Rhinolophus ferrumequinum: one gene and its partner. The protein of the gene in region 1 interacts with the protein of each later gene in a pairwise test. Links are inferred from orthologs where the notes say so. Each region holds a gene or a part of one and is shown in the gene's direction. Other genes may lie near its edges.

What was found.
Region 2: the proteins of EIF1AD (region 1) and GLYR1 interact in binary tests that used the Homo sapiens proteins (3 or more experiments, as listed by UniProt). The two-hybrid records come from large-scale screens. The link is inferred for Rhinolophus ferrumequinum from reciprocal best matches to the Homo sapiens genes EIF1AD and GLYR1.

The regions. Positions count from the first base shown.
Region 1 is NC_046294.1:5,844,700-5,851,860, forward strand, and holds the start of EIF1AD (probable RNA-binding protein EIF1AD), read left to right. Parts: upstream 1-4,144; 5' UTR 4,145-4,286; intron 4,287-4,420; 5' UTR 4,421-4,545; intron 4,546-6,595; exon of another isoform or gene 6,596-6,703; 5' UTR 6,704-6,711; coding exon 6,712-6,798; intron 6,799-6,942; coding exon 6,943-7,051; intron 7,052-7,149; coding exon 7,150-7,161. Other genes in the region: BANF1 (barrier-to-autointegration factor), read right to left, coding at 2,401-2,547, 2,791-2,913.
Region 2 is NW_022680357.1:5,961,061-5,968,216, reverse strand, and holds the start of GLYR1 (cytokine-like nuclear factor N-PAC), read left to right. Parts: upstream 1-4,112; 5' UTR 4,113-4,186; coding exon 4,187-4,224; intron 4,225-5,251; coding exon 5,252-5,288; intron 5,289-6,229; coding exon 6,230-6,309; intron 6,310-7,156. UniProt on the Homo sapiens protein: Cytokine-like nuclear factor with chromatin gene reader activity involved in chromatin modification and regulation of gene expression. Acts as a nucleosome-destabilizing factor that is recruited to genes during transcriptional activation.

The DNA.
Region 1 (7,161 bases):
CTGAAACTCCTGGGACAGTCTGCATTACCATCTCGGTCTGGGCTGCAGACTGGCACCCTCCCAGGAGGTGGCCTGTAACACAAGCCGGGCCCTGCTCTGGCTACCTGGTGCCCTTCCAAGGGAGCCACTCAACTTCCCAGACCCAACCTTGCTCGGAACCCTCATCTGTACTAATAACCACCATAGTTTCCAGTTACTCGTATAATCGCTCTATACCCAGGTCTTTACTTTGGTTTCCCTTTTATCTTCCTTCTTCTATTGAGACGGAGCTAACGTCAAGTACACAGAACACTTCTGTTCCCTTTATCAGTTGACACCTGTACTACCACCACACAGGTCAAGAAATGGAAACTGCCACTCCCGCCCCCAGGCTGTCCTGCTCACCATACCCACGTCCCACTCCCAAAGGCAATCATTGTTGACATTTGCAATAACCCATTTCCTTGCTCTTTCTCGTTTTACCACCTATCTAGAGATCCCTAAGCAACAACTGACCTGACTTTACGTGTATATTTTGATGTTTGCTCAGTATTGAGTGTCACCTTTGTCCCACAGCTGTTGTGAATTCATTTCCCCGGGTACTGACAGCCATCAGAGCTCTTCCAGTTGGGGCTGTTAGAAAAAAAGCAGCTCTGAAGGCTCCCGTCGGTGCTGGAGCAGGTGTGCGAGTGTCCTCGGTCATAGCTCCAGGGCAGTGGAATAGCTGGCTCACAGGGTGGGTGTTCAGTTATAGAAAACACCCAACTGTTTTTCCCAAGTGTTTAGACCAATCGCCATTCCCACCAGCTGGGTATCAGTTCCTGTTGCTCCATTTCCTCATCACTTGGTATTGTCTGGCTTAAAATTTCTGCCAATCCAGTGAGTGTATAATAACACCTCATTTGCATTTCTGATTACTAATGTAATTGTTTTGTTTGCTTTTCTTCACTGCAGTTATGTTATATACTCTGGATATAGTACCTTGTCACGTATGTGTTACAAATATCCTTTCCCACTCTCAGTCAGTTTTGTCTGTCACTCTCTTTATGGTATCTTTAGATGGAGTTTCTACTAATGGAGTTAAATGTATCAACTTTTTCTTCTTAATTTTTCCCTACCCTGAAGTCAGGAAAATCTTCTCCTGTTACCCCAATGTTTGTATTTAATGTGTGTCGGTCTGTCCTCACCAGACTGGGAGCCCTCTGAGGAACGCCCTTTACGCAGCAGTTCCTCAGCGAGGCCCCACTCAAAAGACTGAAAGCCAAGCAGGGCTGGGTGCTGCACAGTTAGCATTTCATCTGATCCTTACAACCATCTCATTTTCCAAGTGGGGAAACTGAGGCTCAGAGAGGCTGAAGGATATGACCAAAGAACACAGGGCTCTCAGGTATATGGGCTTCTAAGTTATTTTGAGAGCCAATGGGGGCACTTCCTAGCAGAAAGTCCAGTCTCTCTGAGTCCCTGGTTTCCTCACCTGTAAAAGAGAAAACAATTCTTTACTGTGGAAGAAAAAAATATTGATAAAGATCTTAGCTGTGGGGCTGGTTCACTAAGCGTGCAATCAAAAATAGGATGAAAATGTACCAGATAAAAGTGTAACTCGCCCTCAGCTGTGATCCCATGCTCTCTCTGCCTCCCAGACCGCAAGAGCCCTGCCCACTCCTCCCAAAGGCCAGGAAAGCACATGATGATTAGCAGGTGAACTTTTACCCACATTCCGTCCCCCTCTTCCTGGTACCTCTGACTCCCACTTCCTTTTCCACCAGGTGCCGGCTAGCTCAGCTACTGACTCAGCTGACATCGGGAATGGCACAGCACACCTGGATCCCAGGAAGGGACCAACCCACACTCTCTCCCATGTTACTACGGGATTGAGGCACTCTTGAGGCACCTGCCTGAGGCTTATGTGGCTAGGGTGGCTGCCCTCCGGTGTACGGAGGAAGCTGCCAGTTTCGACTGGCACTGATAAGGAGTGTGACAGACCTGATCAGCCCCTGGGGAAGAGGCGACTCCCAGCCCATCTGTTTTTCAACGCACAAAACCCAGTCCTGAAGGCCACTAACTTTATTGATTTAAAAAACTTTGTAAGGACAACGACTATTCTGCCAAAAGAGAAGCCAAATGGCATAAAACAGACCGGCGAGGAGGGTGTGGGTGAGGGAAGGGGCCAGGAATCCACTCAGAAAAGCTGGTAATTATCAACATGAAATTGGCAGGGGAGAGAAGAGAGATGCATGCAAAACGAAGAACTTCTGAAAAAGTTGAAATGGTAAGGGGAGAGAACTCCCTGAAGACCCTGGATGACACTGCAGGCTGAGCAGACATCAATCCTTTGTACAGGGCAGGGGAGGAGCCCCCACTCGGCTGCAAACTCTGGAGACTCAAGGCTGGGGCTAGGGACTGGGGGCTCCCCAGAGTGCATCACAAGAAGGCATCGCACCACTCTCGGAGGCACCCGAAGCAGTCCCGGGACTGCTTGGCATTGGCGCCACACGTGTCCTTTAGCCATTCCCGGAAGAGGTCTTCATCTTTCTTAAGCACCAGAAACTGGCCAAGGACCACATACGCCTGCAAAACAGGCAAAATAAAAGGCATGCTATTCAGTGCCCTGTGGGACTAAGAACAAGGCCACTCCTGTGGCATTCAGAGCACATGAGCCTAGGAGGCAGGGCAGGCTCTGGCTACCTCTTCAGATTATATACCACGGTCCTCCCCCACCAGATACACTCACTTTCCTCGCTCCCAAACTGCCAGGCAATACTGTAGTCTGCCACCCCCAGCCCTCCCCAGCTGCATGCAGCCTCCGCACACCTTGTCAAAGCCCCTTTCCTCCAGCTTCTTGCCCAGGACTTCACCAATCCCGGCCAGGCTCCCCACTGGCTTTTCCCCCATGGGCTCTGCCACGAAGTCTCGATGCTTTTGGGATGTTGTCATCTTGATCAGGATTTATCTACGAATCCCAAGAAAAGGTAGGTTAGGACTGAAAACCCGGGAACTCCCAAAGGCCCACTGGCAATATCATATTTAAAGGAAGCTAGACCAGCGATTATGGTGGGTTATTCGATTCCCCTCATTTCACGGATGAGAAAACTGAGGTCCAAGGCAAGTTTTTCCCACTACTCAAGAGAGAAATCTCTCTCACTCCCTGCGGGAACGGGGTTTTGGTATTGCCCCAGAGGAAAGACTATCCTGCCCTATCAGGTGGCGCAGGCCGGTCAGTAGCCAGAACTCGCCCTGAAGGTGTCACTCCCTCTGTGACCTTGGCTGGGCAAAGGAGGTACTGACTCTGCCTGGAAGGGCTATCCAGCCAGAAAAGCAAACAAAGGGTCCCCCTGCCCCACCCGCCCCAATTGGCTGCTCAGAGAGCACAGGCACGGGCCAGAGCGCACACCCCAGCTCAGTGCCCCAGCCCCACCAGGTTCACGTCTGGGCTCCCGCCGCGCCTCGAAGGCCCCGCCCCCGAGACGCGTCGCCCCGCCTCCTCCACGCGCCGCCGCGCCCGCGCGCCGCGTCCCGCCCCTCCTCGCCGGGCCGCCAAGCCCTCTCCGAGGGCGCATTCTCTGGCTGGCCGTGGCGCTTACGGCTTCCCTCCTTCTCGCGCCTCCTCTGCCTCCAGTCCAAGCCCTGCTGTGCAGCGCGCGCTCACCGGCAGCTTCAGCTCCCGTAACGGATACTCCTACCGCCCGGCTGCTCCCGCCGATACCTCAACTCACTAGAACGTTCTTCTACTTCCGCTTCCGGGTCGCCTCAAGAGCCACTTAAAAAATGTGGCACTTCTAGCCACTCAGAGCCATAGAGATGAGGCTCCCTGGACCTCACGGCGGCCTTAGAAGGGGCTCCTTTCCGGTCGCTTCGCGGGAAACCGGGCTGCCTTCTATTGTCTCGCTTCTCCAGAAGTACTTCCGGTCTCAAGGAGCAGAGGCTTCGGTGGAGAAAACTTTATTTCCCCGCTGCACGGCATCCGGAACTCAAGGACTTAGCCTTTGGCGATCTGGGGGTGGGAAGAGTTAAAGGAACGGACAAGGAGGGAGGAGCGTGGCCGAAGGCTTCCGAGAGGCCGCCGGAAGTACCGTACTCGGAAGGGTCCGACTCAGGCCGATTCGTGTCGCCCTCACCGCTGTGGGACTTGTACGAGTCCGGCAGGAGCTGGAGACTCCGGAGATCTGTGTCCAAGTTGACGCTACCGTCGTGATCGCCGGCAAGTTCCTTTTCTACGAAGTGAGTCGTGGACGAGCCGCTCCCAGCGAGCGTCCAGCCTGAAGAACGGAATCGTTCAAGCAACGCCTTTGGGAGAAGAGGGCCAGAAAGTAAGTGTGGGGTCTGTGCGCGTCTTACCTCCGGGATAGGGAGGGAGGAGGGCAGGAAAAGGCAACCTGAGGTGACACGCGGAGTTTCCTTTAGAAACCACCAGTCTTGGTGGTGCCAATTCTTGTTTTCTCAGAACCCGTCAGAAACATAGCAGATGCCGCAGACCACGCCGGCTTTCCTCGACCTTTAATGAACTCGTTCCTGGCTTGGACCATCTCGGTGGTCTCCAAACTGGTCTCTTGTCTGTAGTCTGTTGAAGTGAGTATCTGTGTTGTATGGCTGTGCTGTATTTGGGATGTACAAGCATATTGAGGAAGATAGTTTATCTCACACTCCTCCGTGAACGGTTGCCAGAGTGATTTATTTAGTTTTTATGTTATGCCAGTACTTAAGACAACATGACTTATTTTTATCTGCCGTACACTGTGCTAAGTGCGTTGCTCACATCATTGCATCGTAATGACAATGTTCTGGGTTAGCTGTTATTTTTCTTTGTGGCTTGGGAAAGTTAAACAGTAAGGAATGTCAATGTAAGAACGTCCAAACCCATAGTTACCGGAGGGTGTCCAGGTTCTTGGCATCTGGAACAAAGAATTGAACGAGATACCGTGATCAAGTGGTGGAAAAGCAATTTATTAGAAGAGATAGTACTCTCCAAGGAAATAGAAGCGGGCCGAGCAGAAAGCAGTGGCTCAAGGACCATTAAGAAAAGGGATAGTACACTCCAAAGAGTGTGGAGCGGGCTGAGCAAAAGAAGAGACTCAAAAAAGGACCCCGGCTCAAAGGCCCAAAGGGCTAAGGGCCCAGGATCAAAAAGGGCCTGACTGGGAGGACTTGGAGTTTTTATCCTTTTTTCCCTCTAGAATGGGCAGTTCCTTTGCGGGAGTGGGACCACTTGATTGACACCTGTGATTGACAAGAGGCTATTACCTCATCTTTTTAGACTGTGCATGTTCTTTCCCAGAATTCAGTCTGTTATAATGATATTAATGAACTCCCAGGCGTATGTATGATATTATAATGATGGGATAATGAGGCCCAGGTGAAATTGTGGTCTTTGCTGCTCAGGAGTGAGGGGCTGGTTTAATCTAGTTGGGTATTTTGTACCCATTTGTTCCTCATAGGCGCAGATAATTACAATGAAAAGGGGAAGTTTTGGGCGGAGAGGGGAGGTCTTCTGGGCAGTCGCATTCTGTTCAGGGATGCAGAGACCTGATGCCTAGCTCTAACTGCGTGCCTTGTTTTCCCCTTGAGAGACATGATCCCCATAAAAACTCTATGGGAAGTTGAGGGACAGAAGGTCTTTTTTTCTGTATCTGCTTCCTGCTGGACGGGGGCGAAGATCTGTCCCTACCTATTGGGGGATTCACGGAACTCTCGCCCTGTCTGATCTCAGGTGAGAGGAAGGGGTCTCGGGACCTGCCTGGAAGACCATGTTGGCTTCTTTGGTTGCGACTGGCAATCTTGCTGGGGTATCCTCTGTATCCCCAAAGCCCCTGAATGAGGAAAAATAGATTTTAATTAATAAATCCATTAGCACTATGGAGCCTGTGGCCATTCAACCATTTAGGTGGCATCAGTTGTCCAGGAGCTGGGCCCAGAATGGGTTGAAAAGAACCTTAGGCTTCACTGATTACAATTAACAAGTATACTGGCCTGGGGGGTCTGGAATGGCTTGGAGGATGTTGGGAAGTCATAGGCTTTTAAGAGACATTCTCTGATTCAGGCGAGGAGCACTCTTTAGTCTAGGATTCAAAAACTGATCAGAAGAGTAATCAAAACCCGGGGCTAAGGAGCTAAGAAACTAGGGAAAAGGAGACTTAAAATTTCTGTAGTGAGGGGCTCTCCCATATCACCATGGAGAATTTTTATAAGAGTTTGAGCCAAACCGATGACCTATGCTAGCAAGCAAGATCTAAAATGCTCTGGAGAATAATAGTTTTGCAGTTTGTTTTATGCCTTAGAAAGTAAGGAGGAGGGGTCTAAGGAAGATGACTTGAGGATGGGAGAAAGCAGGGCAGGGATTGGGTTGCAGAGTAGTTAATAAGATTATGTGCTATCTTTGAGGGTGGTCGTGCTTTAGAGGGGTATTACTTGGCTGGCTTAAAAACCTTTGACTAAAGAAGTTATATGCCTGGGGTGTGACCACCCATCATGACCTGCTCATTTCTGAATTTATGATCAGGTTACTCTGTTTCCATGGAACCCCTTTTTTTCGTCCACAGGAAATAGTCAAGGTAGGATTTCAGTTCAAGCAATTAGATGTTAGAGCCCACGTTCTTAACCAGGACACTGTGTCACTCCCCAGTAAAAAGTCCCTCCCCATCTTCAAAACAGTCCTGGGTTCTGAACCTGCCATCCAAGAAACTCAGGAGCAGGAGTTGACAGCCTCTGCGTCCCTCACCTCCCGGAACAGGACCCAACATGTCTCGGGCCACCAAGAGGAAGCACGTGGTGAAGGAGGTGCAGGGGGAGCACATGGTACCCTCCGAGAAGCAGCAGATCGTGAGGGTGAGTAGCATTGGGCACAAGCTACTCCGTCCCCCACCCCTCCACTCCCGTTGGGCCCTGGGGTGGGGGAAGAGTGCAGGGTGGCGCAGGGGGTCTTTGAGCTAGCTGATGAGGCCGACTGGTTCTTGGTCTCTCCTGGACCAGGTACTCAGAACCCCAGGGAACAATCTGCACGAGGTGGAGACAGCCCAGGGGCAGTGCTTCCTGGTGAGCATGCCCTCCAAATACCGCAAGAACATCTGGATCAAGAGAGGTGAGAGAGCCGTCTAAGACACAGAACCACTTCCAGTGACCTTGGCTTCCCCCAGTGCAAGCTGAACTGACTCGACCTTTTCTCCTCTCTACCTACAGGGGACTTTCTCA
Region 2 (7,156 bases), on another chromosome or scaffold:
TCTTTTGCTGTGACATTCGGATGTGTTTTCCTGTGGCTTGCACTATCAACAACAAAGATGTTTTGTATGCCATATTGTGTAACATTTTGTAATAAATTTTTATGTCATCAATGCCATTAGATTCTAATATATCTATACTTATATCTAATTGATACCACTTAGTATGCTTTGAGTGGTTTTTGCTAAAATTAAAGGTAATGATAAATTTATCACCACATAATAAATGTTTAAAATAAAAATGTCATTTATGTACAAAGCAGCTCAAAATGTTATTAAATGCATAAAATAGTCAAAATATCAACTTTTTATTTTTTGTGGATTTTTGACACATTTTGGGGAAAAAAACCTTGAAATCAATTAACACAGTGAGAGTTAAGGTCTATTTCTGAAATCCATCCTATCATATTGATGTAGTAGCTAAACATTCCTTAACCAGTACCATATTGTTTTAAGAAATTTTATGGTATATTTTAACATCTTGATTTTAACATTCATCTTTATTCTTCTTCTTTTAAAATACTTGGCTATTCCAGCCTATTTATTATTTCAGATCAATTTTAGAATCAGTTTGACAAGTTCCCAAAAAACTCACTGCATTTTAACTGTAAATGAATCATAAATATGAATTCAAAAAGATTTATATCATATATTCCCATACATATATAAAGATATTTATATAGTACACGCAATTCTCATTCTTTCCATTGTGACGATAAACTGTGATCTATAATACCAGACAAAGGAGTAAAATATCTAAAAATAGTTAAAATAATGCTAATGAGGCAGCAAAGTGATTAGCAGCAAAACAGGTTGGTGGTGCAAAAGACCATCGGGCATTAAGACGTTGAAAGAAATTCCTCTAAAGGAAACTTTCGAGGCCCCCAGGACATTTGTGATACACTTGGGTTGTGAAAATAAATTTCAGCTAAAGGTTGAAGGCTTGAAAGTTACCCTCATCGATAAGACAGGCAAAGTCTCACTATAAAAAGAGAATCTGCAAGTAACCGATGGGATACAGGAAGGTCATCCTAGAAGTGACAACCAGGTTCCTGCCCCAATCCAGGCAGTAATTTTAAAATATACCCTTATCCTGGCCCAAATTTTACACTTGATCTTAGCCAAAAGGCCAAGAAACGACCTGGCCCAAATTTTAGACATTGTAACTTCAATCCACCTAGATAGTAAAACTGCTTCCCTTAGTTGTTTAAGTGACTTTGCAGGCCTGAGAAGTTATAGATATAATACTAGAGAATCATGTAAGTCAAACCTATAGCCTTTTAGATTTTTAGTCATCGTGATAACTGCTATTGCTTGTTACTAGGCCATTAGAAACGTTTAAGAGATTCAGACATATTAATGTCTGACGTCAGACTTACAATTTTAATTTGAAATCCTTAAGAAAATATAACTAGGTTCAAAAATATTCTTTTAAAAGAATCTTACCATTATACATTTATTAGCCTTACAAAAGCTAAGTCCTTGGAAAGATTTTACTATTTGGTTTATAAGTTCCCTGTTTTAGAAGTTTGAAGTATTAGAGAGAACAAGCATTTAAAACTTCAAATGCAATTTAACACATTTAAGGGAATTTAACTTTGTAATAAAAAGCTTATTGTTTAGGAAAATTTAATCTGTTAAACTGGTGCCTTAATTGAAGCTCTGTCAAAGATGAAGTACTTCTGTTTTTACAAAAACATTCTTAGATTTGTAAATGAAACAAGATTTGTCAGCAAAATTTAAAGCCTTAAGAAAACCTAAGGGGGCGCCCTGATGGCTCAGTTGGTTAGAGCAGGAGCTCTTAACAAGGTTGCCAGTTCAATTCCCACAGAGGAATGGTGAGCTGTGCCCCTGCAACTAAAGATTGAAAACAGCGACTGGACTTGGAGCTGACCTGCGCCCTCCACAACTTGACTGAAGAACAACGACTTGACTTGCAGCTGATGGGCCCTGGAAAAATACAGTTCCCCAATATTAAAAAAAAAAAAAATTATTGAAAAAAAGAAAACCTAAGTATTTAAATACAGGCATACCTCAGAGATACTGCAGGTTCCGTTCCAGACAACCGCAATAAAGCAAGTCGTAATCTTTTTGCTGGTGGAGGGTCTTGCCTTCAATTTGTAAAAAACGCAACATCTGTGAAGGGCAACAAAGTTAAGTGCAATAAAGCGAGGTATGCCTGTACTCACCTTTAAGGAGTTAAACCTTATTCTAAGCACAGTATTCTACAAACAACATCCCTTTTAAAAACCCTCAATTGATATTACCCAAGAAATGCTAGCTTCTTTTTGTATCTCAGATTATTCCCAGGAATGATATATTTTTTTGTTGAACGTCCTCTCAATTACTGTATTTTCAAGCTAATTATTGGTGAAACATAGAAAAACTGAATTTTGTATGCTGAGTTTCTAATTAGTTTCTTTACTGAATTTCAAAATAGGCTTTTTTTCAAAATAGGCTGTCCTATCATCCACAGAAATGAGAATTTTGTCTCCTTTCTGAAAAATGGTGTCTCGTTTTTGTTTCAGGTCTTACTGCATTGGCTAGAACTTACAGGATAATATTAGACAATATATTCTTTGCCATGTTCCTGACTGTAACGGGAATGCCTCTAGGCCAAGTGTGAAGTTAATTTAAAATTCACATTTTTTATCAAGTCATTAAAATAACCCTCAATCCTCAAAATTTAAGAGTTTTAAAATCAGAAACATATGTTGAATTTTATGAAATTATTTCCTGGAATCACAAATGTGCTTTAAATTATCGGTTGGTCTTTGAAACAATTCAAGACGGTAAATGACAGTTCCTAAAACTGACAGTACTTTAGGGAAACTGAATTCCAGTGAAAAACCAGCTGTGGACAAGCCAGTTCGCTAAAACAAAAACAAAAATATCCCACATACAACCAAAGTCTCCGTGTAACAAAACGCCTAAGGGAGATAGATGTGTGTGGACCTGCAATCTTTTCAAGCAGGCGGCGACTCAAGAAAAGTCCAGTCTAAGTTAAGTCAACACTTGACTTAAGAGTCCTTGAGGTCTGTAATTGGGAATGGGACTTTTTGAAAATGTTTATTTTCTAGCAGGAATCTGACGTTTGGGCAGTCTCTGTGAACGGTTCCTAGTTCCTCATTCAACGGCTTGTTTTCACGTATTGAAACTACGCCTGGCATCCGCCTCCCTGTTGTCACAACAACCTGCTCCTAACTTCTCCAAAAGTGTCAAACTACAACTCGGCTTAAGTGAGAGCCCGGTCCCGACAAAGACACGCACCTTTGTCCCCAGCGCGACGCAAGCTACGGCCCCGCGGGCCGCACTTGTCCCCCCGCGACCGTCCTCATGCCGGCCCGGGAGCCCGGGCTGCGGCGCTGCTAGCGGCCGGTCCCGGAGCCATGCCTCCCGGCGGGCGGCCAACCCGCGCCGCGGCCCATGGCTGGGTCCCCGCGGGCCCGGGGGAGCCTCGCTGGCCGTGCCGTCTGCCGGCCCAGGAGGAAGTGGAGAGACTCTGGCTCCACGTCGGCCGATCAACTCGGAACCTCGAGGCGGGCTGCACTGGCGCCCCGGGAGAACTTGAAGCGCGGACACGGGCTCCGGCTCGGAGCCGCTCCCCGGACGCAGCTGGCAAAAAGCGCGCTCTGAAGGACCCGTTCGCCCCCGGGCGCGGCCACGCAGAGCCCGCCGGGCGCGGGACCCCGGGTGCGGGGCCCCGGGCACGGGCGGAGGCTGGCTTCCAGGCCGCGCCGAGGTCCGTCAGGGTAGCTGCCCGCGAGGCGACGCGGCCGGCCCCGGGGCCCGCGCGGGACTAACGGCCGTAACGGAAGCGCCGTGGGGGAGGGGAATGGAGACCAGGGTCCGGAGGCGGGGCGGGTCGCAGGGTCGGCTCCTTTGCGCGCTGGACCGGCCGCACAGCCGCCGTCGCCGCCGCCTCAGATCCCGGGCGCTTCGTTGTCACGAGCCGAAGGGAGGGGAAAGGAGCCGGGAGTCTTTCGGCTCCAGCGCGCGGAGACCGCGGCTCCCGCGTCACGTGCCGCCTAGCCGGCCAATAAGCACCGGCGGGCGTGGCGACGTCAGAGCAGCGGCGTGGCCGATGACAGCCGGCCCCCGTCACGTGGCCGGACTCAACCCAATGGGCGGCGCCGGGGCGACCTGAAGTTCCCGGCGGCCTGTGCGTCGGTGGTGGTTGGGTGGTAAGATGGCGGCTGTGAGTCTGCGGCTCGGCGATTTGGTGTGGTGAGTCCGGGCGTCCGGGGCCAAGCGAGGTGCGACGGGAAACTGCTCCTTTGGGCGCGGGGTTGGCGGACAGCCCCGGAGCTGCCTTTCTGGGCGCTCCAGGCCGCGGAGAGAGGGCGAGACGAGGTGCCGGTGCTGGGAGCGACGCCGGGCGGAAGGGGCAGCCCTGCCCCGGGGGACTGAGGCCGAGGGTGGCCGCGGCGGGCCGGGCTCCGAGGCCGCCCGGGAGAGAGCTGAGCTCCGGACCCGGACGCCGACGGCTACTGTGAGGGGCATTTCTGGAGCCACCCGCGGTGCGGGTTCCTCGGGGTCTTGCTGGGGTTCCCTGTAAAGCGGGGGAGCCCTCAAGGCCATCTCGCCCCGGCAAGCCCGTTAAAACCAGCGTTGCAATGGAACCGAACTCTGCGGGCGGCTTGGCCAAGGGTGTCGAAACCGGACTGATGGCGCTGCCCGGTGAAGAAATGGAGAGGAGACTTCTTCTTTACAACCGAAGGCTTGGCAGTGATCAGTGCCGTTTTGGGTGCCTCTTGTGGTCTTCTTCTGTGTCCCAGACAACCGCCCGAACCAAGACTGACTGTCGCCGCCTCGGTCGAGCTGCGTAGCTTATTTCTCGACCCAGAGGAAGGCTTCCATTAGCATTTGGCAAAGCCAGCTGGTCTCGCGGTGAATTAAACCAGACTTTGTAAGGGGAAGTCTGTGTTTACAGAGCAAACTGGCCCCCACCCCCGTCACGGGGAGGCTCTAGACAAGTGGCTCTTGGCGGTTTTGTTGTTCTGTATCCCTTGTCACCAGAAGAATGTACATACTTTATGCACATAGGTATACAATTTTGCATTCCATTTCTGAGGAGTTTGGGCCTGTTGAGTCCAACTGGGGAAGCCAGATTAAGAACTCCTGTGTGCCAGCTTTTGTTCTGGCACTTGAGGATGCAAGTGGAGATTTAGGAAAATAAATTGCATGTTGAGTGGGTTGAAGAAGATGGACTGGCTTTTCCAGGGCAAGTGCTGACTCTCTGTGTTTTCTCTAGGGGGAAACTCGGCAGGTATCCTCCTTGGCCAGGAAAGGTGAGTCTCTTGCTACTGAACTAAAGGAAGACATCTGAAGTTGGGTTTGAACAGGTGGAGAATGTAAGATGCATTCCCTTCAATTTCTAGCATTGAGTTAAACTGCCTATTTTAAGTAACAGAATTTTTTCTTCTGGAACATCAGTTCATTTAGAAAAGGCAATATAATATAAACCAGATCACTTAATCTTCATTAAATGCTTATTTCTTGAATCAGAGATGGTTTTGTGGAGGTTTTTAACCCTGGAAATCAATTCTAATTTGAATTTAGCTTTACACTTAAATCTAACGAAAGGAGAAGAAAATAAATTCTCCAGGAAGATAGAAATCTAAATGTAGACTAGTGAAAAGTCAAAGTATTTTTGTCCCAACTAAGTTTAAATCTTCTATGTTACCATATGTGCTGCTCCAGTGCATCTTTGCAGAAGTTGGCATTTCAAATTTTGCATGAGGCGATCCGTCATAGCTTTCCAAATGTTCTGTTTTTATATTCTTGCTAGGAGCCCAGGAAATGTCTTTAGACTGTCTCCTTGCAATATGGTATTTTCAGTGCTTCAGTTGCCTTTCCTTGTCACTATTACCTGTCTCAACTCTTCCTTCACAGAAGTATTTTTAAAAGTGTCCTCTACATTTCTTCAGTGATGACAGGGTCACATGGGATGAGGGGATGATATTTGTCTTAGTTTTAACTGCTTTTAAAACAGGGGCATTGCAGTAAAGGAATACCGTATCTACTGAACGATGTGCCACATGTTAGATGTAGAGAACTTTGGAATATTTGTACATCTCCACACATCTCAGTAGAAAAGTGCCAAATTTGGATACATACTAGGCGCTCGGTTTTTTTCTTTTTAAGACATTTCTTTTGTTTTATTTGATTTTTTTTTTCTTACCAACTTAGAATGGTGGGAAAAAACCTTTTTTTCCCTTTTATCCCCCAGATTGTTAATCCACCCAAGGACTTGAAGAAACCTCGTGGAAAGAAGTGCTTCTTTGTGAAGTTTTTTGGAACAGAGGATCAGTGAGTAGTGCTCACCAAGAGTTTCGCTTTCCCTTTGTTTAGGCATTGGCCTGGGTCTGAGCTGCTCTGAGAGTATTCTGTGGACCCTAGTTCAGTCCTACTAGGTAGTCTATAAAATGGCATCATTCTGGCTTCATACCTAAAGAAAAGGTGCTATTCTTACCTTGCAGAAATTGTCCTGGGGCCAATAACAGTGTCAGTCAGGTGAGAACTAGGGCTCACCACCTTCTAAATATAATAATCACATTGAGAGTTTCTCACACCTCTCTTGCCAACTCCATAGGCAGTTCCTCCTATAGGACCAATTTGGTTTCCCATTTAATGGCTGTTTATCAGTGTGGCTCATGCATGAGCTAGACAGTGAAAACTAAAATTTTATTTACCTTAATAAAAGTAATTGTTTAATCTGTTTTCTTTTGGGAAACTAAATGACTTGCTTTAATGTTGTAACATTTAGCTAGCCCTGTCCTAGAGTTGAAATCAGAATCGTTAATATGAGATTCTTTGATAGGCCATATAAGAAATCACAGTGTGGGGAAGAAGGTATTTGCTTGAGATTCTGATGATTTGTTTCGCGTTCCCATCACTACATCAAGTTGATTACCTAGTTCTAGCTAGATGGTTTGATTTCTTTAAGTAGTTGTATTTCTGTTTATGATTCTTACAGGAAAATGTAATTTTGGGTTAGGAAAATGTGACTTTTCTGATAAAGCTAATACCAATAGTTAAAATACACATTCCTAGAAAGTGATATATAATATCCATAGGAAAATCTCATAAACTGTTCTTCACTCACTCAGGAGTTTATGTGTCAGGGTGCTTACTCATCTTGGTTTAGAGTTTGCCT